Lonchura striata: one gene and its partners. The protein of the gene in region 1 purifies or fractionates together with the protein of each later gene. This does not show direct contact. Links are inferred from orthologs where the notes say so. Each region holds a gene or a part of one and is shown on either strand. Other genes may lie near its edges.

Region 1 (7,815 bases):
CTATATTTAATGGTGATCATTTATATCAAGAGATATAAAATATGTCAAGGATTAGACAAGTGCAACCTGCACAAGGGAAATGTGACAGCTGTCAAATCATTACTGCCTTAAATTGCAGGGATAGCAAAGGAAATATCTGCTGTCTGTAATGTGGATTTAGGCAGCTCTATATATGCTAAATACAAATATGTAAAGCTAATATGGAGAAAAATCTAGGCCCAAGCTACCCTATTATATTCCTAATACCATCTGGCACGGATGCAAACTGGGTTTTCCTGGTTTAAGGCAATTCCCATCTCAATCCCACCAAGGAAGGTGATTGACAAACACAAAGAGAATTGAACATGTCAGATGATTTATGGATCTAATGACAGTGGAAGCATCATTATTTATATTGCACCTGCTTTACATTCTAAGCTCTAGAGGCAGATTGAAAAAGGCAACACAGAAAGTCCCTGGGCCTGAAGGGAAAGGGGAATGTTCTGCAGGGACAAGAGTGATCAAATCCTGCACAATGCTGGGGATGAAAAGGAACGGCAGAGATCGGGACAAACACGACCACCACATCTGGGGTTCTGCTGAAAGGTTCAGCCAGGGAATAAATCAGAAATCATCAGAGAATCCCAGAATGGTTTGGGCTGGGAGGGACCTTAAATCCCATCTCTTTCCCATCCCCCTGCCATGGGCAGGGACACCTTCCACTGCCCCAGGGTGCTCCAGCCTTGGACACTTCCAGGGATCCAGGGGCACCCTGTCACCATCCTCACCATCAATCTAACCCTCCTCTGAGTTTTCCACCGTTCCCCCTTGTCCTGTCACTCCAGACCTTTTAAAATAGTCTCTCTCCATCTTCCCTGTAGGCTCCTTCAGGTCCTGGCAGGCCACCCCAAAGCTTCTCTTCTCCTGGCAGAACCACGACCATGACTTTGTACCCCAGAGCTGGGGCTGCTTCAGGCCAGAGGTGGAAAATAGTGACAAGAAGAGATCCAGTTTCTCCACATTCCCCCAGCCATCCCAGAAATCCAAGGGTTGTGGGCACAGCTCCTCACCTGACATTAAAAGCCTTTTGATCCAAAACCTTAATGGAACACCAAACAGAAACATCCTCCTGACATGACTGAGAGCAAAAGGAAATGAGACATTTTTTATTTGGCTGCTCCAATTCAATAATGGAAAGTATTTTGTTTTACTAACAAGTAAATTAAATTCCCTGTTCTCGTGTTTTTCCTTTCCGTGCATCACTCAGCTGCTCCTCGGGATGAAAATCCTGTCGTTCTTTTTGATATCATGCAACTGCCACAAGACATATGGCCTGAAGTATGTAACAAAATCCTCACAAATCCACTGAAATGCCTTTTTACTGTCATTGCCTCGCCTGCTACAGAGAAAAACATCCTGCAACCCAAGAATCATTCATGCACTGCAAAAGAGAAAACTCCACTCGTACAAACTACAGAATTAATTGCCAAGATTGAATACTCTGTGAACAGTTGTAAACACAGATTGTACACAAGTCTGAGCTGTCCCAGAGCCCTTTGGACTGGGCTGACTTGTGGAGTCACGAAAAGGCCGGGTTTAAGTGAGAACCACACTCAGACTCTCTCCTGCCTGCACCTGGAGCCTAAAATTGGTGAGCTCAAGCCCCCAAAAGCATCACTGCTCCATCCCAGCCCCAGCTTCGCTGCTGTGCCAGAACTGCTTGGTCATGAAAGGCCAAAGCGAGGCCTTTGCCACACTCATTCACACCTTAACCACCAGCCAGACACTATACAGATACAAAAAAACACATTAAATGGTTCTTACAGCATACTGTGTCAAAAAAGGTATCTTTCCTTCCCATCCAAAAAAAATCTGAAGGCACTCATTCGCCCCAAAAGCACGTTAAAATGTTTCCTTCTTGACTTTTTTTTTTTTTTGTCACATTTTTTATCCCTTCCTCTGAAACACCTCAGTGCAAACGAGAGAACTGCAGAGGTAATGAAAGGCACCTGCAGAGCAGCCCAGAGGCTCAAGCAGGTATCTGAAGGCAGGTTCCTGCTAAGGTAGACACCAGCAGACATTCCTGCTTGTCAACTCTCCCTCCTGCCCTCACCTGGAGTGACCTCTCCGCAGTACTTGACCCAAGGAGACCCAAGTGCATCCTCAACACGCTCTCCCAGCTCAGGCTTGAGCTGGATACTAAATTCTGGTGGCTTCTGCTGCTCCAGCTCCGTGCAGGAACCCTTGCTTTCGGTGTTCCCCGCAGCACCAGCCCATCCTGGGAGCTGAGTTAGCACCCCTGGCTCCTACAAAGTCAGCCTGGCAGGCCTGAAAGCTGTTGGACTTGAAATACTCCGCTTTCAAAGTCAACCCAGTCGCTTTGACAGTCAAGACACCCTTGGCTCCCAGAGCCTCTGATTTAATCCTGCTTTTCTGATCCCGTCTGTCACTGAAGCCAGAACACGAAGTACGTGAGCTCTGCGGGTAGTCACACTTCAAAAAAAGGAAAAAAAAAAAAAAAAATCAAGGAATCTCATTTTATACTGACCTGTCCGTGATTGTGGACTGTGTGCCACTCATTGGAGCCTTTGGCAAGAAGTCGTATTATCCAATTTACATTTTACTCTTCTTGCAGGAATATGAACGAGGCTTTGCCCCTTACATGCACCGAGGTTCAGGATCCAGCCTTGCTCCAGAAGAGGCATGCACAGAGGACAAACTCAGTTCAAGGGCAGGAGAAGGGAACAAAAAAAAAAAAAAAAAAAAAAGAACCAACAAAAACCAAACCCAATCCAAAACAACTCCAAAACTCTTCTTTGCAGTCACCCAGAATATCCAAACCACGGAAGTGGGGCGCGGGGGGGATAAAGCAAAAACTCCAGCAAGGAAAAAAACTCCAACAACAACAACAACAAAAATAATCAACAAAACAACCTCGGCGGACGCGGGCGGGGGGTGGAAAAAAGAAGAAACCCTCGTGAAGAGGCGGGCGATGCTCCGAGCGCGGGGGCCCGTGCGGGCTCAGGGGCTGCGCTCGGGGGGCGGGCGGCGCTCCCCGCCCGCGGCCGGGCCCATCCCCGCTGCCCGCCCGGCCTCGCCCGCGGGGCTCGGGCAGGGCGGCCGCCTCTAGGCCCGGGGCTCCATGCCCCGCCGCTCGGCCTCTCGCTGCGGCCCTGCGCCGCTCTGCGCCGCGCTGCTCTCCCGGCCCGCTGGCGGCCCCGGCGCTGCGCGGCTGGGCGAGGCGGCAGCGGCGCGTCCCGGGAGCCTGCGCCGAGCCGGGCCGGGCCGGGCTCGCCCCTCCCCGGCGCCTCCGGGGGGCTCGTACCTCCGGCCGCTCCGCCCCGCCGCCGGATCCCTCCGCCGCCCGCCCTCCTCTTCCTCCTCTTCCTCCTCCCTCTCTCTTCCTTCTCCTGTTTCTCCTCCTTCTCCTCCTTCTCCTTCTTCCCCTCCTCCTTCCCCTCCTTCCCCTCCTCCTTCCCCTCCTTCTCCTCCTTCCCCTCCTTCTCCTCCTTCCCCTTCTTCCCCTCCTTCTCCTCCTTCTCCTCCTCCTCCTTCCCCTCCTTCTTCTCCTTCTCCTCCTTGCCCTCCTTCTCCTCCTTCCCCTCCTTCTCCTCTTTCTCCTCCTCCTCCTCCTTCCCCTCCTTCCCCTCCTTCTCCTTCCCCTCCTTCTCCTTCTCCTCCTTCCCCTCCTTCCCCTCCTTCCCCTCCTTCTCCTCCTTCTCCTCCTCCTCCTTCCCCTCCTTCTTCTCCTTCTCCTCCTTGCCCTCCTTCTCCTCCTTCCCCTTCTCCTCCTCTTTCTCCTCCTCCTCCTTCTCCTCCTTCCCCTCCTTCCCCTTCTCCTCCTTCTCCTTCTCCTCCTCCTCCTTCCCCTCCTTCTCCTCCTTCCCTTCCTTCTCCTCCTTCTCTGCCTCCTCCTCCTCCTCTCTCGCAGCCCTTTCCCGGTCCCTGCCCAGGCCTTTTCCCTTCGGGAAGCGTTTTCCAGACCCGCGGGCTGTTTCCTTTCGTCTCCGCTCGGTGGCGGCCGCTTCTCCCTCTCCCTGTGTCCCAGCTTTCCATCCCCCTGCGTCCCTAACCCGAGGAGGTTTCCCTTTTCCCTCTACCCGTTTTTCCATTTTTCCCCATCCTCCTGCGTCCTTAACCCGAGGAGGTTTCCCTTTTCCCTCTATCCCTTTTTCCATTTTTCCATATTTCCCCATCCCCTGCCCAACAGTATTCCATCCCCCTGCGTCCCTAACCCGAGGAGGTTTCCCTTTTCCCTCTACCCCTTTTTCCCTTTTTCCGTTTTCCCCCATCCCCCTGCATCCCTAGCCCGAGGAGGTTTCCCTTTTCCTTCTATCCCTTTTTCCCTTTTTTCCCTATTTTTTTTCCCCATCCCCTGCTATCCGACACTTTGCCGTGTCACCAGCGCTCAGGGCAGGGAGCGCCCGCGCCTCCATCTCCATGGAAAATATGACACCGGCGAAACTTGGAGCAGAAAGAAAATAAATAAGCAGCAAATTAAAAGAGTAGAAGTGCCAGGAGCTGTGCAGCGCGGAGCCTCGGGCTGTGCTGCTCACTCCCAGGCCTTTCGTTGTCCCATCCCGCGTTCCCCGCATTTCCCACGCAAGTTTCAAAGGGAATTTTTTCTTGGAGGTTAAGGGCAGCATAAATCCAAGAACTGATCCCTCCCTGCACGTACATTCCAGAAACACTGCGGCCAAGGGCCTGTTCCTGCTCCCCTTCAAAACTTCCAGTGCCAAAAGATGAGCCACGCGGGGTGTTGGGGCATTTAAATTTTAGCAGGTGAGGATTTCCTTCTCTCGGCCACAGGCTGAACACAAACATGTCCTTGCTGTAACTCCCTGCTGTTCATGTACACGGTCTGAGAGAGAAATTCCTGTTTCAAGTCTGCACAGAATCCCAGAATGGTTTGGGCTGGAAGGGATCTTAAAGATTATTTTGTTCCAACCCCCTGCCACGGTTCTTCTTCCACTATCCCAGGTTCCTCCAACCTGGCTTCGAACACTTCCAAGGATCCACCACAGCTTCTCTGGGCAACCTCACCACCCCCACAAGGAATTATTTTTTCCTCATATCCCACCTAAAGCTACTCTCCGTCAGTGTGAAGCCGTTCCCCCTTGTCCTGGCACTACAAGCCACTTGTTCTCAAACACCTGGAAATAACATCTACACCTGAGGACTTCAGGAAACTTCCACGCTACTCCTCCAGAAATGAAAGCTCGTGAGCAGCACAGATGTGGAATGAAAAGCAGGATATCTCCCCTGCCAGTAATTCCTGCCCCTCTGCACAAAGGAACTTACAGAACATCAGCCTCCTCCAGCAAAATGCCAGCAGACTAAAATAACCTTATTAGCTAATCCCAATCATCTAGGACACCACGCTTCTTCCCTTTAATTAATCTTGCCGGGATAGACTTCAAAGCTGGGACACTGGACTTGGAAAGAGGCTGGAAAAGAAAGGTTTTGGCTGGGCACACGGGACCGTACCTCTGGAACACGGAGCTGTGTCCTGCTCGCCGCGCGCATCAGGAAGCCGGCAGCCCGAAGTCTGAGCGCCCGAAGAATTTGTTGTTTTGATGGAGTTCAGAGCAAAGAGGGGAAGCGTGGGATGAAATCATTTTCTACATGATATTTCACATATATGCGCAGGACATTTATACTTCCTTTTTTGGTTTCCTTTTGGGGAAAACGGAGGCTTGGTGGGGGGAAAAATAAATAAATAAAGTGTGGGAGTGTGAGACAAGCGGCCACGTCTGCCTCTCCTTCTGCAGCTGTGTGCAATAGAGTCATCAGTGCTGATGAAGTGACTGAATGCCTCCATATATCTATATTTATTTATTATATATCTCTTTATTGCATCTTCTCTGCAATAAATCCCTCCCTGCTTTTAACTTTGGGAACATCGAGTACTGTGCCTGGAGAGGGGAAAGATCCTGGGAGATCTGATTCCTGGCAGGCCCAGCATTTGCATATTAGGCCTCAATGCTTTTTTATTACTTTAATTATATTTTATTGTGCATGACAACATAACGAGAACAATTAGCTGGAGGAAATCCTAAGACATAGATTTTCTACTTCTCTTCTCTGCAAATGCTGATTTTTTTTTTTTTTTTTGGAGGGAGTTGGTTACATATTTAGATTAAGATAGATGTCCATTTATGATAATTCTGTTTTACAGCCTGAAATATGGGGTAGGGAAATCAATAAGTAATTACAGTGTGCCCATTACTTTTTTTTTTTTTTTTTTGGCGCTCTGAAGCTGTCACTTGATCTGAATTTACACACAGAACCATCCCATGGCAGGAGGGTTGGAGCAAGATGACCTTTGAGGTCTCTTCCAACACAAAACCATTTTGTGATTCTCTAATCAACCTCCTCCATCTGTTTTTTTAGTCCATAGCAGAGCTAAGCAGGACCCTAAAATTGAGGAGTTTCATTCCTAAGGAGTACAATTCCATTCTTATTTTGCCTTAAAATAACGGTTAGATCCTTGGAGGTGCTTTAGAGGGGCTCCTGTAAAAATAAATTTATAAAGTGTGAGGATTCTTTGGCCAAATCCCCTTTCCCAGGCTCGCACCGAGGAGCTGTTGCCATCTGCTGGGAAAGCCTCGAATGGCTCCTCTAACCTGAGCTGCCGGGCAGGTAAAAACTCAGGAATTTGGGAAAAAAAAAAAGCATTTCCAAGCGCTTTGGGATCGTGGAGCTCCGAGGGGGGTTTGCACCGCTGTCAGCTCAGCATAAACAGCGAGGAAAATCAGCAAAAAGTGATGCTTTAAGGTTTTAAGTGTGGATAAACAGTGCCTGGATGCATTTTTCTTTCAGAAAAAAATTTCAATTTGTGTTTCAGATGGGATAATCGGCTGAGTTTCGCTGAGCTCCACCACAAAAATAAAGATTCTTTTGCTCCTTACAAATCATCAATTTCAAGCCAGTGAGAGAATGTTCAGGTATTTTGAACAGTTCTTTACACTCAGTACAAATTGCTCAGCCAGCTCCTGTTTTTCTGCTGCTTTTGGAAGCCAGCTGCCAAACCTTTACACCTTGGAGGGGAAAAGCACAGGGGAAATGATTCCCAAGTTCATTTCCCAAATGTGCCTATGGAGCAGAGGACTTAACCCCAGAAAACACAATTACATTGGTGCTGTGTTCCACATTCCTGCACTATTTCCAAACCTTTTTTCATCTCCCACCTTAAAACAGGCACCAGATTTTCTCCCTACAGCTTGTCCTGCAGTTTTGGAAATGCTGAAAATTCCCCAGAGTTGGTATTGGGACACAGGGTTTTGCTGATTTTGAGACACAGATCCTAATCTAGCAGAGCTTCTACAGTGACAGCTTATTACAGTTCCTAAACCTGGATAATCCACGGGCAGTCAGCATTTTTAGAGCCCTGAGCTTTTGTTCCACATCAGCATCATGAAAACAGCAAGGGCAGAGGAATCTGCTGGACATCGTGCCCTGAGTTTCCTTCTCTTTCTCCATCCTCTGGCAGGACGGGGGATTAAAAAGAAAGAGGTAACATCTAAAGAAATGGAGAATATAATTTCTTTTCACGTTTGAGGATTGTGGCACTAGAGAGATCTCAATCTCCTGACACAAAGCACAATTCAAACAGCACAACTCTGCTGAAAATCTGTGGTTTGTAACATTTGAGAAGCTGCAGAAGCTGAAACTTCCTTCTTCCCATACAAAATTATCTACCTGTAAACCTTTATTACTTTACAGACACTTTTCCATGTACCTTGATCTGTTAGATTCCTTCCTTTAGTATTTTTCTAAGGATCTTTTACATTGTTGACTTATCAGCTGCCAAAGTGCCCCTGGAATTTGAGGCAA
Region 2 (7,589 bases), on another chromosome or scaffold:
CAGCTACCCTGGGGTACTGTAATCTCATTTTCCTGTCCTCACCATTTGTATTTATAGAATGAATCCACTCAAAAAAGTAAAACAAAAAGCAGTGGACTTCTGAAGGATTGCAAGCTTGCACATCAGGGATTCCCCTCCTTTCATCCTATTATTTATGCAAGCCTTGTTCTCTGGAGCTACCCACAATTCAAAATAATCTATTTGCTTAATTGAATTATCCTTTAAGGAGAGGAAATTGAAAAATGGGGCCAGTCCAAGAGACTTACTCTCAGCCAAAAAACAGCTTCAGAAACCTGTCACACATTGCTAGGGGTGAAAATGCGAAACCATCGATATTCCTAAACTAGCATGTTGTCAAAGAAAAAACTACTCACAAATTGAAATTAAACAGGAAGACTTTAAATAGGAACTCTTACCTTAGAACATAATGTCTAAAATTTTTTGTAACTTGTATGCGTCTGTTGAAATACAGATGGCCTGTGGAAAGTTAGAACATTAAAAAATATTCAGGCATAGTTAAAATAGATGTTTATGCAAACTCTGCCAGAAAGATGAAAAAAAAAAAAGGGATCATTTCACTACTGTCAAAATTGGAGACTTATGTATGTGCACATAACTTAAGGAAAAGGGAGCAGATAATATAAGACTTACACATTTATTTCCAGTAAATAATTTACATGATAAGGAAATTAACGGTGCTTATCTAAAGTAAGCCTGCTTGGAAAGAAACCAGAGATTGATCCTGAAAGGAACGTCATCTACTACTGCTAAAATCCCAGCAAATTTTCTTGTTCTTTCTCCTAATAAAAGCTGCTCAACCTTGAGCCAAGTTAGAAAGGTTCTTTTGCAAACATATGAACAAGCTATTCTTTATCCAGACAAATAATAGATAAATTGTGCTGGCAGCTTCAGTAGCCACATTTGCAAACTGCATTGGTAAGTCCAAAACTGTTCTATAACCAGTGACTTTAGTTTTTATCAGAAACTGACTGTAAAACTATAAAATAATTTTTGGGGAGTATCTAAGTGCTAAACCAAAATACTCAGCTGTTAGGAAATGCCAAGAGTTGCTGCTGGCAAGCTGTGAGGTGTTTTACTGGGACCACATTACACAGATAAAGTGTCATTACATCACTCTCATGTACACTTAGAGTATGCCAACAAAACAGTGTAAAGAAAATGAACTTCTGGCCTCACATTAAGCTGTGACTTAAGTCAGTGCCCATGGACATTTTTACAGGCAGAACTTTATCCATTACATGTGATGTGTAAAACAGTTGTTGCTATGTGGAATCCACAGGGAAAGCTAGCTAATATCAACATGATTCAAACACAAGCATTCCACCTGGAGATATGCATACAGTAAAGGCTTGAAATCAATGTCAAACCAGATTTTTGCATTTAATTTTTCATTATAAAGTGTGGAGAGAGAAACTGAGCAGTTATGATACTAAACATTTAAGAACAATCCTCTCAGGAGTGAAATTTTTAATGCAAGTATGAGAGCCTTTACCTTTTCCTATTTATATTGAATCGTCTGAAGTTTGATCCATTGAGTTATACACAAAATTCACTTTCAATGAAATTAAAGTAAGACATTGTATAATATTCTTTGAAATGAAAACGCATGTAATATCCTCTCAGGGTTTTCTGAGAAATTACCTGGAGTCCCTTACCTGCCCATCCTTTCAAACTGGTATTCATCAAGGCCAGGCTGAATGGGGCTTAGAGCAACCTGGTCAAGCATGTGTCTCTGCCCATGGCAGTGGGGCTGGAACTAGATCATCTGTAAGGTCCCTTCCAACCCAAATCATTATGTGATTCTGTGAACACAAACTTAATATCCTCTCAGGGTTTTCTGAGAAATCATCTAGGGTCCTTTACCTCTCATTCATCCAGACTGCCATTCAACAGCTCTGACAAATATAGTGGTTCCTACGTTAACACATATTTTAAAAAAATATATGGCAACTTTAATGACAAAAGCTGTTTACTATCCATAGCAACCTGGATTCATATTAAAATGTTCTATTTTAATAACTGGGTGTATGACATTTGAAGTATTGTCAGTTCTTTGTGGCAGAACTACAAGAGGTGCACGTGCATGTCAAATGTCAAAATGTGGTGCTGCCATGTATTGTTGATCTTCCACCTTTGGAATGCTTGTGGAATTCCTTGTAGGCCATCCAGAACATGGAGTTTGCACACTGGAGATGGTGTTTTTATAGCTCTGGTTCCTCACAAGACACCCTCTTGCTGTGGTGTGTACAGTGTGAGCCTGCCCTGAGTTCCAGCAGCACGGACACGCCACCTCTGCGGTTGTCACTTGGCAGTGGAGGCTTCTCCACTGCTGTTTGCTCTGCCTGGTGCACTGAGGTGTGGGAGGAACAGGGTGATGCTAAAGGCACTCTGCCCTCCCCCCAGCCTCAAACTGCATCTGCTCCTCATACAGCTATTAAACAAAGCAGCTGTAACCCGTCTGCACTGTTCCTGGTGTTCTGAAAAGTCTCAGACTGAAGTTACAGAGGTTCATCCAATTTTCCTAGGAATGAAACTGGAAATGCTCCTTACATACAGGCAATGGGTACACTAAAACATGTTTTGCCTTTTCTTCTCTTTCCACTTTCCCCCACTTTTTGCTTAGGTTGAAGTTCTTGCACTCTGATTTCGCTTGTGAGTCTTCCTGTATTTTCCCTGAAGATTCACAGAACAGATGTTGCTGTGTCTTGGGTTATTTTTAAACTTCCCAGGGAGAAAAGAGGGGAGAAAGTAGAGACATGCTTCTTCCAATGAGGGAGAGGCACATCAGAGGGTAAGACAGTGCTCAGCACTGCTTGGATTGTTTACACTGTAAGTGTTTTGTTGATAGTTTCCTGACATTATATCCTGTTTTGCTAACAGAGGTGGTTAGCCAGTCACCAAATTTACATTTTCATTCACTTGTCCATGCACTTTTTTTTCTCCCAGATAACAATTATCCTTATCTCTCTTTTACAAATAAAAGTAAGGCTGACTGTACAAAGTACTGAAAGGTAATGCCAAAGACAAACTTCAGTGCTCTAGAAGTTATACAATGTTTTGATTGTCCAAATTGTCAAACATTCTAAATTATGTCAAGTGAAGATGCAACCATCAAATTTACCTTAATACTTGACAGTCATGTGGAATGTTTTAAAGACCAAAACAAGTTCACAGCACATTTCAGGAGTTGTAGGAATGTTAATCTGGACGCAGGATTGAACTCCACCCGTACTCCACACAGGATGCAGGATTACTCATGCATCTAATGTACTGCCATTTTCCTTCCATGTGTACATCCACTCTGATCCTTGACAGAACCCCCTGAGTTTCTCTAGGTTGCCCCTAAAGAAGCCCCTGGGATTTCTCTTTGTCCTCTGAAAGAGGCTAAGGCGTTGTTACGACAATCATGTCTACATGGGCAGCTATGGCTTGAAGAAATCTATGTAAATTATTTATTAGCTAGTGGCTGTACCCACAACGTCCCTGGTGTTGTCCAAACACTCAAAAAGGATGCAGTGAAACACACCTTGCTTAAAGAAAGGTAGCTGGGGCTGCAAAATCAACGAAAACACAAGATTTTGAAGTATTAACTGGTTTGTTTCACTTTGTCAGCAAAAGACGTATGAACGAACCATCGGGTGGAGAGCGAGGAGGCTTTGCACGTACAGTCGGGGTCATTGTGCTGCTCATGAACCATTGTGGCGAGAGAAGCACGGTGCTACGGGAAAGCTGACAAACCAGCTGGCGACGCCAGGAATGAATCGCGGTAAAGCCAAGGGACAGGGAGGTGACGCAGAGCTGCGGCTCGGGAGGGGTGGCTGTGGGTAGCCCCAGCGGTGTGACGCCCCGGCCGAGCATGATGCAACGATGCAATGCCGGGCCGCTGTCCCCGAGCCGCAGCAGCCGCAGGGATGGATGGCTGGGTGAGGCACACGCCGGGGCAATCCCGCGGAGCCGAGGCTGCCCCGGCTGCCCTGCAGGAGTGCAGGGGGCACGGGGCTGGCAGGCCACGCTGTTCTGCCACGCAGCAGCGGTGCCACCATCGCTGCTCCCAGCCCTGGAACCTCCGCCCAGGCGGGACCCTGGGGACACGGCAGGGACGGCACGGGGCCGGGGCGAGCCTGGGAGAGGGACCGGGCTGACACAGTCTGACTTCCAAGCTTTGTGCAGCAGGAGAGCCGCCACCTGCTCGGCACCTTTCTTGATGGGGCGACGGTCAGGAATGACCCCTTATGCAACCGCGTCGGTAAAAAATAATGGAAGAGGCCCAGCTCACAAAGTAGCCGTGGCCAGCCCCTCAGCACCACCGTGCGCGGAGGGCGCGGGCTGCGGGCTCGGCGCGGGGCCGGGGCTCCCGCCGGGCAGCCCGAGCGGAGAGAAGGCCGGGCCGGCCTCCGAGCCGCCGCCCCGCCGGCGCTGCCCCCGCCCCCGGCCGGCCCTGTGGCGGTGACGTGCCGGGCCGGGCCGGGCCGTGCCGGGCGGCGGGGGCGGCGCAGAGCGGCGCGGCGGCGGCGGCGGCAGGGTCGGCAGCGAGCGGGGCGCCGAGCGCAGCAGCAGCACCTCCAGCAGCAGGTAAGGACGCGGCCTCTCCGCCTCCGCCGCCCCTCCTACCCGCGGCGGGAGGCGCCGGCCCCCGGCCCGCCGCGGCTGCCCCCGCCGCCCCTCTCGCCCGGGCAGGTGCGGGCCGGGCCCTCGGCGGGGAGCGCTCCGGCCAGCGCACCTCGGGACCGACCTGTGGAACCGCAGCTCAGAATCCCTCCGGAGTGCGCGTTACTTCCTTAAATTAGCTGTCATGGAAATTCTTTCCTTTGTGGGTTTGTTTGGGTTTTTTTAGTATCATCCTCTGTGAAATTCCATCCCTGCTGGGCTCCCCTCCTTGCTTCAGAAACACTTCTGTGCTGGTGGGATCGTCCTTGTAAGTGAAAATAAAATTTTTATAGCCTTTACTGACCAGACACAGTACGACTGGTAGTTCAGTGGAAAAACGTCTTTTCAGTGGAAAAACGTCTTCTGGAGTATTTCTGCTTGAAGTACTTTTTGCAGGCTGCGGTTTGGAGAGCAGCGTGTGTCACCGTGATGTACAACTAAAATCCAATACCCCGTTCCTCTGTCTTGCATCCGTTTCTGAATAGGAAAGCTTGAAACGGTCTCCTTAATGGTCTAGAATACGACCTGCAGTGCAGCAAATGTACTGTTGGTGCTTGCCCGATACTTGGCTCCAATTTACTAGTTTTGAACTAGTAAATGCCACCAAGGCCTGTAGGATGGAGGTAGCTGAACTAATAGCTGGCTGCTTCTGTAAAAGGATGGTTGTCATCTGTTGTTTCAGCGAATACTGCTGACTGCCAGCCCTGTTTTTACAAAGGTGCAGAGAAGTAGTACGTCGGGACTTGTGCCCTGTGGTGCTCCCGGAGGGAACAGACCTTTGAGGCGACCTAATTCCTCACAGTTCAGTTGGCATCGCCGGGCTGCGGGGCGGCCTATGGACTGGGTTCACAGCCATCCGAGTACAAAGGTTGGCTGCGGGACTGAGTCTTCCTTCTTTTACAAGTGTGACAAATTAACAGGGTGGAGATGAACTCGCGAGTTAAATGTCATCTGCGTTTTTTTAACTTTATTTTTTAGCGGAAAAAAAAAAAAGCGCCTAATAAAAATAGAAATATTTTAATTTTTTAAATGTTAATTATGAAAATTTAAAAGTATAGGCAAATGTCTTGCAGTATTTGTTTAAATATAATAAAACTGCTAACACACAAGTTAACTCTTAAATGTATGGTTTATAAAATAATTGCAAAAGAAAGATCTCAGTGTTGTTAAGATGGGAGAGTAACTATCAGAATTATCAGAGCACAAGTCCCAAACTTTTGTGTTGTTGCTTTTAATAACATAGAAATTAAGATTTTGCTTGACTGTATTTTTAGTGGATGGGTTTTTAATGTGTCTCAGTTAATAAACTATTTAGTGAAGGCACAGTTATGCCTTTGACTATACAACTATAAAGCCAGCAATGCAAATATAAAGGCAGTAAACTTTCCTGCGAGGCTGAATAGCTTTCTGAATGAAAACCATGTCAGTATTGGCAGAAATTCTAAGTTGAACTAATTTCCCCACCCCCATTATTTCTAGTCAGATTCCTCTATAATCTGCACTAAGTACTGTGTCTTTCAGCCTCCGGCATTGCCATGTGCTTTTGTTTTGATAATAGGTCAGTATTTTGACCCATTAACAATAATGTTCTCATAAGGAAGGTGAAATAGTGCTTCCTTGTGCCTGGTCCACCAGGGTGGAAGTGGCTTTGTGACCCAATCTAACCTTTGCATTTTTGTGGTATTTGATAACACTGGTCTGAGGAAAGATTTCAGGTATTAGAAATTTTGACAGTCTTATGAGTGATGTGGCAAAGTTGAGTATGGACTAACTTTTTATCAGAACAAAATGTGAAAGCATATGATTAAGCTGGCAGGTTCAAAATGAACAAAAGTGGTGTGTTTTTGGTTTTGACCCAATGTGTGGTTAGTTAAGCTTTGGAAATCCTTTCTGAAGCATGTGGATATTGAAAGTTTACAGGGACTTTAAAAGCAGCCGGACAAATTAATGGAAGAAAAACCCACTAAGGCTAACTTGTGTGGAGTACCTGAAGTAGCTCAGGGTGTCACCAAGCTGAGCACAGAGCTGGGATAATAGGTTGGGAAAGTACTTTCAATTATTTATCAAATTTATATATTAATTTCAGGCATTAACATAGTGCAGACAACAGATCTGCTGTCTGACCCAGTAGGACTGCTCTTAGGAAAATTGTTCAACTGAAGTGAGTTTTTGAGAACAGCTGAACCAAAGGGACGAGGTCGAGAGATAACAACTCTGAGTGATAACTCTCAGGAAATGACTATGAGTCACCATCAAACATCAGTTTAAATGGTGCTGGGGGCAGTTCTGGCACCTTTGTACTTGTTGACATGGATATCTTTGATCAAAAGAATTAGCACAAAATATGAAGGAGACTGAGTAGTGCTTTCAGACTGTGTTTTTGATGCTCTGCTTTGGAGAACAAGAGGTTTCTGATAAGTTTGAAGGCAGTATTTGAGTACAAGATACTATTTTCAGGAAGAAGATCCCATAATGCAGATGGGTAAAGTCGACTTGGCAGCAGTGCCATGGGAGCAGATCTGAGGGTTACGTGGGATCACAAGAAGCACAGGGATGCAGTACTATTGAAGTCCAGCATTTAGCTTTTTCTACTAGTGCAGCTTAAGTTAACAGAATAATGTGTCCAGTTTTGGCCACAGGCTGTTAAGGAATATATATGCTTGGAAAGTATGTTCCACAAAGCTACGCAAGCTCATTTCCAGCAGAAAGAAATTAGATGAGGGGACAGGAAGATGCTAGGGCATTAAATTTAGTGAGAAGTGGTTTGTGTTCTTCTATCAGTGACTGTACTGAAAAAAGATGAAACTAATTTATACCAAAGACTTGATAAAGTTCTTAAAATCTGTTATGCCTTAGGGAAAACTGAAAGAAACTAAGGTTGTGCAATCTCATTTCTGCAAAAGTTTTTGAAAGTCAAATAG
Region 3 (7,904 bases), on another chromosome or scaffold:
TGTGTGTTACCTGTCCCAGCTGTGCCCAGGTGTGTCTCACCTGTCTCAGCTGTGTCCCAGGTGTGTCTCACCTGTCTCAGGTGTGTCTCACCTGTCCCAGGTGTGTCTCACCTGTCTCAGGTGTGTCTCACCTGTCCCAGGTGTGTCTCACCTGTCTCAGGTGTGTCTCCAGGTGTGTCTCACCTGTCCCAGGTGTGTCTCACCTGTCTCAGGTGTGTCTCCAGGTGTGTCTCACCTTGATGAAGGCGTAGCCGGCGCTGTTGTCGGTGATGGTCAGCCCCAGCTGTGCCCAGCTGTGCCCAGGTGTGTCTCACCTATCTCAGGTGTGTCTCACCTGTCCCAGGTGTGTCTCACCTATCTCAGGTGTGTCTCACCTGTCCCAGCTGTGTCTCACCTATCTCAGGTGTGTCTCCAGGTGTGTCTCACCTGTCCCAGCTGTGTCTCACCTATCTCAGGTGTGTCTCCAGGTGTGTCTCACCTGTCCCAGGTGTGTCTCACCTGTCTCAGGTGTGTCTCACCTATCTCAGCTGTGTCCCAGGTGTGTCTCACCTATCTCAGGTGTGTCTCACCTATCTCAGGTGTGTCTCCAGGTGTGTCTCACCTATCTCAGGTGTGTCTCACCTGTCCCAGGTGTGTCTCACCTTGATGAAGGCGTAGCCGGCGCCGTTGTCGGTGATGGTCAGCCCCAGCTGTGCCCAGGTGTGCCCAGGTGTGTCTCACCTATCTCAGGTGTGTCTCACCTATCTCAGCTGTGTCCCAGGTGTGTCTCACCTATCTCAGGTGTGTCTCACCTGTCTCAGCTGTGTCTCACCTATCTCAGGTGTGTCTCACCTGTCCAGGTGTGTCTCCAGGTGTGTCTCACCTGTCCCAGGTGTGTCTCACCTTGATGAAGGCGTAGCCGGCGCCGTTGTCGGTGATGGTCAGCCCCAGCGCCTCCTCGTCCTTCAGCACCTGCACGTCCTTCTGGCGGCCGCGCGTGTGCGCGAAGATGAAATCCTCCAGCCCGATCTGCCCGCCCAGCAGCTTCTCCATGTCCACCTGCGGCGTGTTCAGCGTGCAGAACAACACCTGGGACAGGTGAGCACACCTGGGGGTCACCCGAGTGTCACCTGGGACAGGTACACACCTGGATGTCACCTGGGGACATTGGGGACATTGGGACATTGGTGTGTTCAGCGTGCAGAACAGCACCTGGACAGGTGAGCACCTGGGATGTCACCTGGGGTGTCACCTGGGCAGGGACACACCTGAGTATCACCTGAGATGTCACCTGGGGCAGGGACACACCTGAGTATCACCTGAGATGTCACCTGGGGCAGGGACACACCTGGATGTCACCTGGGGACATTGGGGACATTGGGGACATTGGTGTGTTCAGCGTGCAGAACAGCACCTGGGACAGGTGAGCACACCTGGTGTCACCTGGTGTCACCTGAGTGTCACCTGGGGTGTCACCTGGGCAGGGACACACCTGGGGACATTGGGGACATTGGCGTGTTCAGCATGCAGAACAACACCTGGACAGGTGAGCACACCTGGGGGTCACCTGAGTGTCACCTGGGACAGGTACACCCCCGGGTGTCACCTGGGGACACTGGGGACAATCCCCCAGCCCGATCTGCCCGCCCAGCAGCTTCTCCATGTCCACCTGCGGTGTGTTCAGCGTGCAGAACAGCACCTGGACAGGTGAGCACACCTGGGAGTCACCTGGTGTCACCTGAGTGTCACCTGGGACAGGTACACCCCTGGGTGTCACCTGGGGACACTGGGGACATTGGGACATTGGTGTGTTCAGCGTGCAGAACAGCACCTGGACAGGTGAGCACACCTGGTGGTCACCTGGGTTGTCACCTGGTGTCACCTGGGCAGGGACACCCCTGGGATGTCACCTGGGTGTCATCTGAGTGTCACCTGGGACAGGTACACCCCTGGGTGTCACCTGGGGATATTGGGGACATTGGTGTGTTCAGCGTGCAGAACAGCACCTGGACAGGTGAGCACACCTGGTGTCACCTGAGTGTCACCCGGGTGTCACCTGAGATGTCACCTGGGGCAGGGACACACCTGGGTGTCACCTGAGTGTCACCTGGGTGTCACATGGGGTGTTACCCGGGGTGTCACCTGGGGCAGGGACACACCTGGGTGTCACCTGGAGACATTGGGGACATTGGGGACATTGGGGACATTGGTGTGTTCAGCGTGCAGAACAGCACCTGGGACAGGTGAGCACCTGGGGTGTCACCTGGTCAGGGACACACCTGGGGTGTCACCTCAGTGTCACCTGGGGTCTCACCTGGCGACAGGACAGCACCAGGGGACACTGGGACATGGGGACACTGGGGTGGTCAGCGTGTCATCCCAGTCCCTCCCAGTCCCTCCCAGTCCATCCCAGTCACTCCCAGTCCCATCCCAGTCCATCCCAGTCCATCCCAGTCCCTCCCAATCCCATCCCAGTCCATCCCAGTCTATCCCAATCCCATCCCAGTCCATCCCAGTCCATCCCAGTCCATCCCAATCCCATCCCAGTCCATCCCAGTCTATCCCAATCCCATCCCAGTCCATCCCAATCCCATTCCCAGTCCATCCCAGTCCCTCCCAGTGCTCCCAGTTCACCTCGCTGGGCGGGATGCCGAAGGCCTCGCCGATCTTGCCGTACAGCTCGCGCACGTTGCCGAATCCCATCCCAATCCCATCCCAGTCCCTCCCAGTCCATCCCAGTCCATCCCAATCCCATCCCAGTCTATCCCAGTCCATCCCAATCCCATCCCAGTCCATCCCAATCCCATCCCAGTCCCTCCCAGTGCTCCCAGTTCACCTCGCTGGGCGGGATGCCGAAGGCCTCGCCGATCTTGCCGTACAGCTCGCGCACGTTGCCGAATCCCTCGACGCGGCCGGTGGCGCTGCCGTGCGCCAGCTGCGTGTGGAACACCAGGCGGGGCCGCAGGCCGGGGGCGGGGGCCGCGCCCCCCGGGACCCCCCCCGGGGCCCCCCCGGGCTCCCCCGGGGTCCCCCCGCGCCCCCCGGACCCCTCCTCGTTCTCCACCAGCGGCGGCGGCTTCTTGCGGCGGCCCAGGCCCAGCGGCATGGGGGGCCGGGGGGGCTCGGAGGGGGTTTGGGGGGGCTTTGGGGGGTCTAGGAGGGGTTTTGGGGGGCTTTGGGGGGTCTTTGAGGGGTTTGGGGGGGCTTTGGGGTGTCTAGGAGGGGTTTTGGGGGGCTTTGGGGGGTCTTTGAGGGGGCTGGAGGGGCCTTTGAGGGGGTTTGGGGGGGCTTTGGGGTGTCTAGGAGGGGTTTTGGGGGGCTTTGAGGGGTCTTTGAGGTGTTTTGGGGGCCTTTGAGGGGTCTTTGATGGGTTTTAGGGGGTCTGGGGGTGTCCAGAAGTGGTTTTGGGGGGCTTTGGGGGGTCTTTGAGGGGGCTGGAGGGGTCTAGGAGGGGTTTTGGGGGGTCTAGGAGGGGTTTTGGGGGTCTAGGAGGGGTTTTGGGGGTCTAGGAGGGGCTTTGAGGGGTTTTGGGGGGCTTTGGGGTGTCTAGGAGGGGGTTTTGGGGGGCTTTGGGGGGTCTTTGAGGGGTTTTAGGGGGTCTGGGGGTGTCTAGAAGCGGTTTTGGGGGGCTTTGGGGGGTCTGAGCGGAGTTTTGGGGTCTTTGAGGGGTCTAGGAGGGCTTCTGGGGGGGTCTCAGCGGAGTTTTGGGGGGGCTTTGAGGGGTTTTGGGGGGATCGGTGGGGGTCTCAGCGGAGTTTTTGGGTTTTGGGGGGATCGGTGGGGGTCTCAGCGGAGTTTTTGGGTTTTGGGGGGATCGGTGGGGGTCTCAGCGGAGTTTTTGGGTTTTGGGGGGATCGGTGGGGGTCTCAGCGGAGTTTTTGGGTTTTGGGGGGATCAGTGGGGGTCTCAGCGGAGTTTTTGGGTTTTGGGGGGATCGGTGGGGGTCTCAGCGGAGTTTTGGGGGGTTTTGGGGGGATCGGTGGGGGTCTCAGCAGAGTTTTGGGGGGTTTTGGGGGGATCAGTGGGGGTCTCAGCGGAGTTTTTGGGTTTTGGGGGGATCAGTGGGGGTCTCAGCGGAGTTTTGGGGGGTTTTGGGGGGGTCTGGTGAGGTTTCGGGGGTTCTGAGAGGGGTTTTGGGGGGGTCCCAATGAATTTTGGGGGGGTCTGGGGGTTCTAGGAAGGGTTTTGGGGGGGTCCGGTGGAGCTTTGAGAGGTCCGGGGGGGTTTGGGGGGGTCCCGGTGTCCCCGGGGTGTTTTTGGGGGGTCCCGGTGTCCCCGGGGTGTTTTTTTGGGGGGTCCCGGTGTCCCCGGGGTGGTTTTTGGGGGGTCCCGGTGTCCCCGGGGTGGTTTTTGGGGGGTCCCGGTGTCCCCGGGGTGTTTTTTTGGGGGTCCCGGTGTCCCCGGGGTGGTTTTTGGGGGGTCCCGGTGTCCCCGGGGGGGTCCCACTCTGCTCCGCTGGGGGCTGAAAGGCGAGAGGGGAAACTGAGGCACGGGGGGTGGGGGATCCCCGAATCCCGGGACCACCCCCGGGACCCTCCCAGATCCTCCCGTGGTCCCGGCCCCCCGAGCTCGCTCCCGGTCCCGTTCCCGGTCCCGGTTTCCCCATTCCCGGTCCCGGTCCCATTCCCGGTTTTAGTCCCGGTTTCCCATTTCCAGTTGCAGTCCCGTTCCCGTTGCCGGTTTCAGTCCCGGTCCCGGTTTCCCATTCCCGGTTCCGGTCCCGGTTTCCCATTCCCGATCCCGTTCCCGGTTTCCCGTTCCCGTTTCCCCAGTTTCATTCCCCTTCCCCATTCCCGTTCCCATTCCCGATTCCATTCCCGGTCCCGGTTTCCCCATTCCCGGTTCCCGTTCCCGGTTCCAATCCCGATCCGGTCCCGTTCCTGGTTCCGCTCTCCCAGTTTCCCATTCCCGGTTCCATTCCCGGTTCCCGTTCCCGGTTCCCGTTCCCGGTTCCGCTCTCCCAGTTTCCCATTCCCGGTTCCGCTCTCCCGGTTTCCCATTCCCAGTTCCCATTCCCGGTTTCCCGTTCCCAGTTCCCATTCCCGGTTCCCGGTTCCCATTCCCGGTTCCCGGTTCCCATTCCCGGTTCCTGGTTCCCATTCCCGGTTTCCTGTTCCCGGTACCCGGTTCCGGTCCGGTCCCGTTCCCGGTTCCGGTTTCCTATTCCCGTTCCCGGTTCCCGGTTCCCGTTCCCGGTTCCGATCCCGTCCCGTTCCCTGTCCCGGTTTCCCATTCCCACTTCCCATTCCCGGTTCCCGGTTCCCGTTCCCATTCCCCGTTCCCGGTTCCGTTCCCGGTTTCCCATTCCCGGTTCCCGGTTCCCGTTCCCATTCCCAGTTCCCGTTCCCGGTTCCGGTCCGGTCCCGTTCTCAGTTCCGGTCCCGATTTCCCATTCCCCGTTCCCGGTTCCGGTCCCGGTTTCCCATTCCCGGTTCCCGTTCCCGATTCCCGGTTCCCGTTCCCGGTCCCGTTCCCGGTTTCCCATTCCCAGTTCCCGGTTCCCGGTTCCCGGTTCCCATTCCCATTCCCGGTTCCGGTCCGGTCCCGTTCCCGGTTCCGGTCCCGGTTTCCCATTCCCAGTTCCCGGTTCCCATTCCCAGTTCCCGGTTTCCCATTCCCGGTTCCGGTCCGGTCCCGTTCCCGGTTCCCGGTTTCCCATTCCCGGTTCCCGTTCCCAGTTCCCGGTTTCCCATTCCCGGTTCCGGTCCGGTCCCGTTCCCGGTTCCGCTCCCGGTTTCCCATTCCCGGTTCCCGGTTCCCGTTCCCATTCCCAGTTCCCGGTTTCCCATTCCCGGTTCCGGTCCCGGTTTCCCATTCCCGGTTCCGCTCCCGGTTTCCCCATTCCCGGTTTCCTGTTCCCGGTTCCCGGTTCCTATCCGGTCCCGTTCCCGGTTCCCGTTCCCATTCCCCGTTCCCGGTTTCCCATTCCCGGTTCCCGTTCCCATTCCCCGGTCCCGTTCCCGGTTCCGGTCCCGGTTTCCCATTCCCATTCCCGGTTCCGGTCCCGGTTTCCCATTCCCCGTTCCCGGTTTCCCATTCCCGTTCCCGGTTCCGGTCCCGGTTTCCCGTTCCCATTCCCGGTTCCGGTCCCGGTTTCCCATTCCCGTTCCCGGTTCCGGTCCCGGTTTCCCATTCCCAGTTCCCGGTTCCCATTCCCGGTTCCGGTCCCGTTCCCGGTTCCGGTCCCGGTTTCCCCCCTCACCCGCCGGGCGCTGCAGCCGGAGCGGAGCGGCACTTCCGGGAGGGCGTGGCCAAACCGCGCCCGGACCAATCAGCGCCGCCGCCCCGCCCCGCCCGGACCAATGGGAGGCGGGGGGGGAGGGCAGCAGGAAAGGGCGTGGCCGCTCCTCCCCTCCCCCCCCGCCCGCCGCGGGCAATGGGCGCGCCCGGGCCCGCGCGCGGCGCAGCCAATCAGGAGCCGGGATGGCGCGTGGGGGCGTGGCCAGCGGGGAGGGAGCCCAAAGGGGCGTGGCCAACGAGAAGGGGCGGGGCCGGTGAGTAAAGGGGCGTGGTCTGAGCGCAAAGGGGCGTGGCCAGTGGGGAGGGGATGAGCGCAAAGGGGCGTGGCCAAGCGGGGATGGGCGTGGTCAACGAGTAAAGGGGCGTGGCCAAGCGAGGATGGGCGTGGTCAACGAGTGAAGGGGCGTGGCCAAAGGGGGTCCGCGTGTGATTTTGGGGAGGGGTCCCAAATCCAATTTGGGGTCCCAACCTCCATTTTGGGGAGGGGTCTCCGTGTGATTTTGGGGAGGGGTCCCAAACCCCATTTGGGATCCCAACCTCCATTTTGGGGAGGGGTCTCAGTGTGATTTTGGGGAGGGGTCCCGAACCCCATTCGGGGTCCCAAACCCCATTTGGGGAGGGGTCCCAAATCCAATTTGGGCTCCCAACCTCCATTTTGGGGAGGGGTCCCGGTGTGATTTTGGGGAGGGGTCCCAAACCCCATTCGGGGTCCCAAACCCCATTTGGGGAGGGGTCCCAATCCCAATTTGGGATCCCAAACCCCATTTTGTGAGGGGTCCCGGTGTGATTTTGGGGAGGGGTCCCAAATCCAATTTGGGGAGGGGTCCCAAAACCAATTTGGGATCCCAAACCCCATTTTGGGGAGGGGTCCCTGTGTGATTTTGGGGAGGGGTCCCAAACCCCATTCGATGTCCCAAACCCCATTTGGGGAGGGGTCCCAATCCCAATTTGGGATCCCAACCTCCATTTTGGGCAGGGGTCCCGGTGTGATTTTGGGGAGGGGTCCTAAACCCCATTTGGGAGGGGTCTCAAACCCCATTTGGGAGGGGTCTCAAATCCAATTTGGGGTCCCAAACCCCATTTTGGGGTCCCAAACCCCATTTTGGGGAGGGGTCCCGGTGTGATTTTGGGGAGGGGTCCCAAACCCCATTTGGGGTCCCTAACCCCATTTGGGGAGGGGTTCCCGTTTGATTTTGGAGAGGGGTCTCCGGGTGATTTTGGGGAGGGGTCCCAAACCCATTTTGGGAACTCAAACCCCATTTGGGGAGGGGTCCAGAACCCATTTTGGGGAGGGGTCCCGGTGTGATTTTGGGGAGGGGTCCCAAACCCCATTCGGAGTCCCAAACCCCATTTGGGGAGGGGTCCCAAACCCCATTCGAGGTCCCAAACCTCATTTTGGGAAGGGGTCCCTGTGTGATTTTGGGGAGGGGTCCCAAACCCCATTCAAGGTCCCAAACCCCATTTTGGGGAGGGGTCCCAAATCCAATTTGGGGTCCCAAACCCCATTTTGGGGAGGGGTCCCTGTGTAATTTTGGGGAGGGGTCCCAAACCCCATTCAAGGTCCCAAACCCCATTTTGGGGAGGGGTCCCCATGTGATTTTGGGGAGGGGTCCCAAACCCCATTTGGGAGGGGTCCCAAACCAAATTTGGGATCCCAACCTTCATTTTGGGGAGGGGTCCCTGTG
Region 4 (7,713 bases), on another chromosome or scaffold:
AATCACATTACTATTAAGCATGTCTTTTTTTGACAAACCATCTTTTTTTGCTTGGCTTGGTTTTTTAAGTTGATGCACCAGTTAATAAAAGGGTGGTAATAATCATATGGCAAAAAAACCGTGCAGGTACCAGCTTTGTTCCAAAACTTAAAAGCCCTCAATACTTCAGCTTTCCCACATATGAAATGAGGACGATTACATCAGAACCTCTTTTATTATTATTAAAAAAAAGTGGGGGGAAGTAGCTAAATGCAGCTGTGTGCAACACCACAGAGTAAGAAAACTCAAAAACGCTAAGGAAGCGGCTTGGTCGGCGTTTCTCAGAGAATCGAGGCAGGAATAAAATCACAGAGGGGCAGTTAAAGACACTGAAGGCCAAATCTTACCAGCTGGAACTCCCTGCGCCTGTCGTAGGCGTGCTGGATGCCACTGTCTGCCCACAGGGCTCGGATGGCTGGCAGGTAGTCCAAAAAAACCCCGGTCTCCACCATGCCCTGCGCCACGGTGACCGCGCGGGTGTCGAAAGCCATCACCTTGTCCCCGTTGCTCTGGTTGGCAGCATCTCCCCAAGGGATATGGAGTTTCTCTCTGGCGTCCACCAGGACTCGCACACCTGCAATGACGAGGAAGGACACTGTGAGCAGAGTTTCTCAGCATCTACTGTTTCACCAGGCTTCGGATCTGCACTGAGGCGAACAATGCACCTGCTCTGCACAAAGCTCAATAGGAACATCCACCCAGGATGGGCAGGGAATCAGGAAGCCAAAAAACTGACTCAAACCACTACATATACAGGTAGCAGCAAACCCCGGATTTGCTATCTCAAGAACATGACTACCATCAACAGGATGCAAATTTAATTCTTGAAAATGTGCTGTTTTTAATTACTAAGTTTATCTGCTACCAAATTCTTTCACTTGGCATGAGTGCAAGACAAGGAATACTTAAAAGTTTATTTCGAAATACGTTAAACCACCTGATGTCTTGCTTTAAGGTTCTCTAAGTTTTGTGAAGAATACAAACTTGGTATCCAGTCATACCAAATTATACAAAGAATCTCTATCACTGACAGTATTTCTATCATTGCCTTTCATATTTTCAGAGAGACTAAGACATGTACTAAAATCATTGCACTTGCTAAAAATATGTTTCTATAGCTTAAGTGCAGAGGAATTGTATCATCTAAAGGCTTCCCTGCACTTGTGTGGTTGTTTTGGTAAATATTTTCTAGAAGAGCATTTTAAACTTCTTTTCAGAGTCCTTCTGAAGGATATAAATCAACTGTCCTCATATTGCAAGAAAATTATTTCTAGTATTGAATTTGCTGACGAAAAAATAAAAATAAAAATCCAGAAAGACTAAGCAACTGTAAAGGCATGGGAAGAGATATAAGGAAATTAAGATGTGGCAACAAATGACTGTTCAGTAACATACTCATTCGATGCCAAGGTGTTTTCTCAAGGTTCAGTCCTTTTCCATGGTTTTTCTCTCTGTCAAAGGCAGGTAGGTATCTGTCAAATCTATCTGTGACTGCAGGAAAAGAGCGTCCCAGACAGATGTGCAGGTCCTATGTGTATACCTTCACAGAGCATGAAGTAGCTTTAACAATAAACTTTAACCTGGTTGAGATTCATGTGCATGATTTCTACTGCCTTCTACTGCTATAAGTAGTTTTTCCAGGCTTGATTCATCAGCAGGTTTGTAAAACAACTCTCTTTGAGAATTGCTGGATTTTCAGGAGCTGAGTCTGGCAACACTGTGCTGTTTTGAGAAACTTCATTAAGATCTGCTCCAACTATTACACAGTCCAAACTGAATATCCAAGGAGCAATTTAGGTAAGAGAAAATGCGTGAAGACGACCAATGAAGCCAGGATGACAGTAGTGAAATCAAGCGTCCACTACTCCCCTAAACCATGTGTGGAGGTTTTGGCAAAGGATCTATGAGAGAGGCTCTGCCTGCGGGTTGCAGTTAATTGATGTGTCAGCCGAGCAGCGATTTCCACTGCAGCAAAACGCTGAAAGCAAAGGGCTGGGCTCCTCCTCATGCACTTCCAGGTGCATCTTCCCCCCATCCATTACCGCTCATTAGAGCACTCGCATTACCAGGAAATCACAGAATCACGGAATCAATTAGATCGGAAAAGACCTCTGAGATCATTCAGTCCAACCTATGACCGAATACCACCCTGTCAACCAGACTTGCCATTAAGTGCCACGTCCAGCCTTAAACACTTCCAACGACAGTGACTCCATCACCCCCCTGGGTAGCCCATTGTCTCAATGGAAGAAATTCTTCCGAACGTCCAGCATAAAGCTCCTCCGGTGCAGCTTCACACTGTCCCCTCGTCCTATCTCTAGTTCTCTGGGAACAGAGCCCGAACCCCACCTGGCTACCACATCCCTCCAGCGGTTGTAGAGAGCGATAAGATCACCCCTGAGCGCCCTGTTCTTCAGGCTGAGCCCCCCCCTTGTGCTCCAGCCCCTTCCCCAGCTCCGCTGCCCTTCTCTGGCCTCGCTCCAGCGCAGCACCGAGGGCCAAGCGGGCAGCTCCCGGGGCCGGAGCCGCCCCGCGGGCCGCAGCGGGCGGCGCGGTGACACCGCCGCGGGCCGGCCCCGGGGCACGGCCGCGGCGCCGGGACAGCGCGGCAGGCGGCGGCGGCCGCGGACCCGCCCGAGCCGCCTCTCCCCGCCCCGGCCCGGCCGGGCCCGGCGCTCGCAGGGCGCCCGTCCCCGCCGCCCTCACCCACCCTTGATCACGTTGCTGTAGATGGTGGCGCGGAACTCCTCGCGCGCCGCGCGGTCCCAGTCCTGCCCGTGGATGATCCGCATCTGCTTGAGGAAGGTGGACTTGCCGCTCTCGCCCGCGCCCAGCAGCAGGATCTTGACGAGGCGCTTCACGTAGGTCTTCTCGCGGTTGAGGCACTTGTCGATCTCCTTGGACTTGCGCTGCTGCTCGGCCTCGCCGCTGGTGAGGAGGCAGCCGGGGAAGCAGCCGGCCAGCGCGGAGCGGGACGGCAGGAAATCCGCCATCTTAGCGAGCGCTGCCAGCCAGGGGAGCGCCCGCCCGCCGCCCGCGCCGCGCGCGCCCCGCACCGCGCCTGCGCGCCGCGCCGCGCCCGCCTGCACGCTCCCGCCCGGCGCGTGACGAGCGCGGGCCCGCCCCCCGCGCCGGCCCCGCCCCCTCCGGCCCCTCACAGGAAATGGCGGGAGGGACCCTCAGGAGCGGGCCTGCTCCTGCGCCGGCTGCCTCACTGCCCTTCCCAGCGCCCTGAGATCCTCGTAGCCAGACTGGCAATTCACCTGTAAAACACCGCCTTCTCCTCAAGAAAGCCCCCGAGTCGCCTTGAAGTGGAGCTTGAAATCGCGATTTTTCAGCGCCGTTCCTGGAGGAGATCCAGGCTGTGCCTCCTGGCAGGTGCCAGGCTGCTCGCGAGGAAACACAGTGAAAGAACATTCAGGCACAGGGTGCTGCTGTGTAATGGACTTAAAGGTTTATAGATGCACATGATCATAATTTTAATGTGCTTTGTAATGGAAAATAAATTTAAGGTGGGCTTCATGGAGTCATAAAGGTTTGGAAGAGACCTTTAAGATCCAGTCCAACCACCCACCCAGCATCCATAAAAACACATCACTCAGCACCAGGTCTGGATGTTTCTCAAGCACTTTCAGGGATGGTGACTCTACCACTTTCCTGGGAGCCCTTTCAATTGCCAGACCACCCTAACCATAACTTTTTTTTTCCTAATCTAATGAATCTCCCACCTTGAGGCCATGTGCACCCATCCTCTCACTGCAGGCAGGCAGAAGAGACTAAATCATAGAAACACAGAATCAATTAGGTTAGAAAAGATCACTGAGATCATCCAGCCCAATCTGTGACAAATCACCTCTGTCAACTGGACTATGGCACCAATTGCCATATCCAGTCTTTCAGCACCTCCAGGGTGTCTCCACCACATCTCTGGGCAGTCCATTCCAATGTCTAATTACCCTTTCTGTGAAGAATTTTTCCATAATATCTAACCCCATCCTCCCCTGGAGCAGCTTGAGGTTGTTCCCTTGTTCCCTGGAGCAGAGCCTGACCCTCACCTGGCTGCACCCTCCTGTTGGGAGTTACAGAGTGAGAAGGTTCCCCCTGAACCTTCTGTTCTCCAGGCTGAGCCCCCTGAGTTCCCTCAGCAGCTCTTGGTTCTCCAGCCCCTTCCCAGCTCCATTCCCTTCTCCAGACACGCTCCAGCCCTTCAATCTTCTTCCTGAACTGAGGGGCCCAGAACTGGACACAGGAACTGACACAGCCACTCCTGTCCCTGTCCCTGTCCTTGTCCCTGGCTCCTCATGGGTATGTTTAGGAGAGAAGACTGAGAGGACATCTCATCAATACATATAAATATCTCCAAGGGGAATGCCAAGAGGATGGTCCCAGACTCTTCAGTGGTACCCTGTGACAGGATGAGGAGCAATGGCTGTAAACTAAAACACAAGAAGTTCCACCTCAACATGAGGAAGAACTACTTTCCACGGAGGAGGCAGAGGCTTGCAACAGCTGCCCAGAGAGATTGTGGAGTCTCCTCCCTCTCAGGAGATGTTCCAAACACACCTGGACGTGTTCCTGGATGACTCTGCTTAGGCAGTGGGGTTGGGCTGGATGATCTTAGGAGGTCCCTTCCAGCTTTAACAAATCTGGGATTCTGAGGTTCCATGGAAAGGAGCCCCAGGCTCACCCGACCCCGTGGATGCAGGGAAGCTGCTGGGCAAGCGGCCCAGGGAGGTCAGCCCTCAGTCAGGGGGGCAGGATGGTGCTTGCCAGCTAAGCAGGTTTTCTTTTTGCTGCAGAAAGAGAGCTGTTTTGTTAAAACATTTGAAAAATTGGCATGTCCTTCCTCACTGCCTGGCTGAGAAGAGCTTCCCAGTGCTGCAGGGTTGCAGCACCGAGCTGAACAAACAGCCTGGGTCCAACCTCTCCCGAGGCACAGTGAGCAAAAGAGAGTGGGACTCTAGCTGATCCCGAGTTAAAAGGAGCAAAGATTTATTTTCAATGGCAATCCTTCATGTGAGGAGTAGAACAAATCTTAGGCTGAGGGACCTGCAAGGACTGAAAATCTCACGGACTGAAAATCCCACACTTCATTCAACACAGCCCTAAGCACAGCTTAGTAATTTGTTTTAATAAATTAACTTTAACTACCATCAGTAGTGCAAAGATTGCATTAAACATTTGTCTCTCCTTACATCTCCTAGTCTTTGATATCTGCTGAAATTTCCTCTTAATCTTTTTCTGCTTTTCCCCCCAACATTAATAATAACTTAGAAAAAGGGAAAGATAAATGTGAAACTGTGAGGTGAGTTTAGAACAAGGAAATGTTACTTGGCCTCAGCTGGAAGGACCTTCAAAATCTGAAAAGCGCATCAGTGTTCTCTCCTTAGGTTGGTCCCACATGGAGATAAAACTGTATGGGAATTATTTCAAAGGGGCTTACCAGAAAAAAAAAAAAAAAAAAAAAAAAAAAGGCATTTCTTGTAGGAGAACAGGATGTGGTACAAAATTAATACAAGGAGCACGTCCTGTTACTCTTGGTACAGATGTGGAAGCCAGTCATTCCTGAGCTCTGGTCTCAGTTTTAAAATGAAGTTTTAAGATATTTGTCTCAACTCTCATCTTACCTCCCTAGCTGCAGAGGACTCCTGAGTTTCTCCAATCGAGCCACTTGAGTGCTGGGGAGTCCTTGACCTCCCCGTTGCTCTCCCCTTCACGTGGGGAGCTCTCCAAACCCCCACTCCGTGCGCTGGCACAGCAGCCTGGCTCCCAGCCAGGGAGGGGCTGTTCCTGCCCTGCCTGACCGTGTTCCCTGGAGAGGGCTCCGCACCACCCAGGTCACTGTGAAGCCAGCTGCATCCTCCCACCCCAGCAGCCAGGCTCCATCTCTAAGGCAGGGTGCATAAGGTCTTGCTCTGCTTGGCTTTTTTCCTTCCTCTTTGCCACTTCTTTCCTTAGCTTTCCTGGAAAGCCCAGGAACGACGGGAAACAAATGCTGCCCGTTTGCCCCAGCAGCTCTTCCCATGAGGCTGCTAAGGAAACTTCTCATTTTGAGTGCTTGTGCCCCACCAGGCAGGACAATGGACTCTGGGGATATTCCTTTAACCATTGCCTTGCTGGCAGAGCTGAGCTCAAGTCACTCCTCTCTCTATGCCACAGTTTGCACAATTTTTTTTTTTTTTTTTTTTTTTTTTTTTTTTTTTTTTTTTTTTGAGCAAACTGCTTTGAAATCTTCCTGGAAGGAACCAAGTGCTAAAACCAAGCCCCCACCTGCCACTTGTTTCACTTACTGTTACCCCTTCCTTCCCCTCAGGGCGTCCCCAGCTTCCTTACATAGAAAGGTAGCTTACTCACCACATGCCTTTTGTGTTGGATGATTCAACTTTCTGATGTGTGAAAAAGGGGCAACCACGTAGGAAATGTGACCTTTTAAAGTCAGGGGGGGATTCCCTTGGCAGTGCTTTCCACAAGAGAAACTCTGGAGAATTGAGAGCCAGTCTGTTGAGAGCAATCACAGCTTGTGGGGCTGCACAAGGAGACCAGAGGGATAAAATCCGGCTTTCAGCAGAACTTTTCCCAGCCTGGACACACTCTGTGTGAGAGGCTGGCAGGGATCTGTGGGCTCTGGAGAGCCCATGGACACTCACCATTGCCCTGTGATTTGATGTGATGTGATTGATGTGATGTGATGTGATGTGATGATGTGATGTGATGGGATGTGATGACCACAAGGGTATTTCCACTATAGCAGCTTTTACCCTGTGTGGGGTAGAACACCCATGGAAACTTGCAGCTACATAAATACCACTGCATTTACTATACAAAACAGGAGGTTAAGGGCACTCCCCAGATAATGTATTTCTGCATTATCTGGGGGGCAGAAAGGCCAGGGTGAACGTAGGGAGTCAGAAATCTGGAGGGAATCTCCTTTATGACTGCTGCCAGTGCTCTCCACCACTCTTGTTGTTGTTCAAGTCCCTTGTTTTCTTGACCAACAAATATGCCAGCCAGGCTGCATCAAGGACTGGAGAATTCTTTGCTTTCTACAAGTGTGGGTTTCGTGATTAGAGGCCCAGGAGTGTCTGCCCTAGACAAGCCTCTATAATCTGATTTAAATGCCTCGTGCTTCATGTGGCAGATCTGCCCAAGAGCATTAACTGCTGGGACGGTTCACCTGGGCACAGGTGAAATATCAACTCATCTGTGTTTGGTGCTGTGGGTCACTCACAGATGTTAATAAAGCTGAATTTACCTTGGACATGTTGTGGAAATTACACAAACTAGCTTTAAAATACAGGAATATCCATAAGCTTCATCATAGCTTGTCAGAGAAGACTAGAAATAGAAAAAACGCCACACCTGACCTGTGAGGGGGTGTTTGGGGGATCGGAAGGATTTAAAATTATCAGACTCTTTGGAGCTCAGTGAGGCTGAAGAGCTCACAACTCAGCGTGAGCTTCTCAGAGCTATTTTTCCTGGATCTCCTGCAAGACCATTTTATTTTTGAACTCACTTAAGACCCACATTTCAAATGTTTCTCATGACTAAGACACCTATATTCTTCAGTGAAACTGTTAAAGTCAGCATTTTGAGGTGAAATGGTTTTATTCCTTTAATTATGTGGGACATAGGAAGTTGTTGGTAGTTGATCCTTTACTTAGGCCAGTGTTAGCA

The links. The genes of interacting proteins can lie anywhere in the genome.
Region 2: the proteins of ARHGEF12 (region 1) and MYO6 purify together in Homo sapiens (affinity purification with mass spectrometry; 4 studies listed by BioGRID and IntAct, counting the BioPlex papers as one, with this or other methods). This does not show direct contact. The link is inferred for Lonchura striata from reciprocal best matches to the Homo sapiens genes ARHGEF12 and MYO6.
Region 3: the proteins of ARHGEF12 (region 1) and GIPC1 purify together in Homo sapiens (co-immunoprecipitation; 4 studies listed by BioGRID and IntAct, with this or other methods). This does not show direct contact. The link is inferred for Lonchura striata from reciprocal best matches to the Homo sapiens genes ARHGEF12 and GIPC1.
Region 4: the proteins of ARHGEF12 (region 1) and GNA13 purify together in Homo sapiens (affinity purification with western blotting; 3 studies listed by BioGRID). This does not show direct contact. The link is inferred for Lonchura striata from reciprocal best matches to the Homo sapiens genes ARHGEF12 and GNA13.

Annotation. Positions count from the first base shown.
Region 1 is NC_134625.1:8,620,901-8,628,715, forward strand, and holds the start of ARHGEF12 (rho guanine nucleotide exchange factor 12), read right to left. Parts: upstream 3,011-7,815; 5' UTR 2,560-3,010; coding exon 2,528-2,559; intron 1-2,527. UniProt on the Homo sapiens protein: May play a role in the regulation of RhoA GTPase by guanine nucleotide-binding alpha-12 (GNA12) and alpha-13 (GNA13). Acts as guanine nucleotide exchange factor (GEF) for RhoA GTPase and may act as GTPase-activating protein (GAP) for GNA12 and GNA13.
Region 2 is NC_134605.1:82,985,283-82,992,871, reverse strand, and holds the start of MYO6 (unconventional myosin-VI), read left to right. Parts: upstream 1-4,504; 5' UTR 4,505-4,593; intron 4,594-7,589. UniProt on the Homo sapiens protein: Myosins are actin-based motor molecules with ATPase activity. Unconventional myosins serve in intracellular movements. Myosin 6 is a reverse-direction motor protein that moves towards the minus-end of actin filaments.
Region 3 is NC_134623.1:2,225,566-2,233,469, forward strand, and holds the start of GIPC1 (PDZ domain-containing protein GIPC1), read right to left. Parts: upstream 3,086-7,904; coding exon 2,816-3,085; intron 1,069-2,815; coding exon 883-1,068; intron 1-882. UniProt on the Homo sapiens protein: May be involved in G protein-linked signaling.
Region 4 is NC_134621.1:9,431,134-9,438,846, reverse strand, and holds the start of GNA13 (guanine nucleotide-binding protein subunit alpha-13), read right to left. Parts: upstream 3,086-7,713; 5' UTR 3,033-3,085; coding exon 2,750-3,032; intron 614-2,749; coding exon 387-613; intron 1-386. UniProt on the Homo sapiens protein: Guanine nucleotide-binding proteins (G proteins) are involved as modulators or transducers in various transmembrane signaling systems.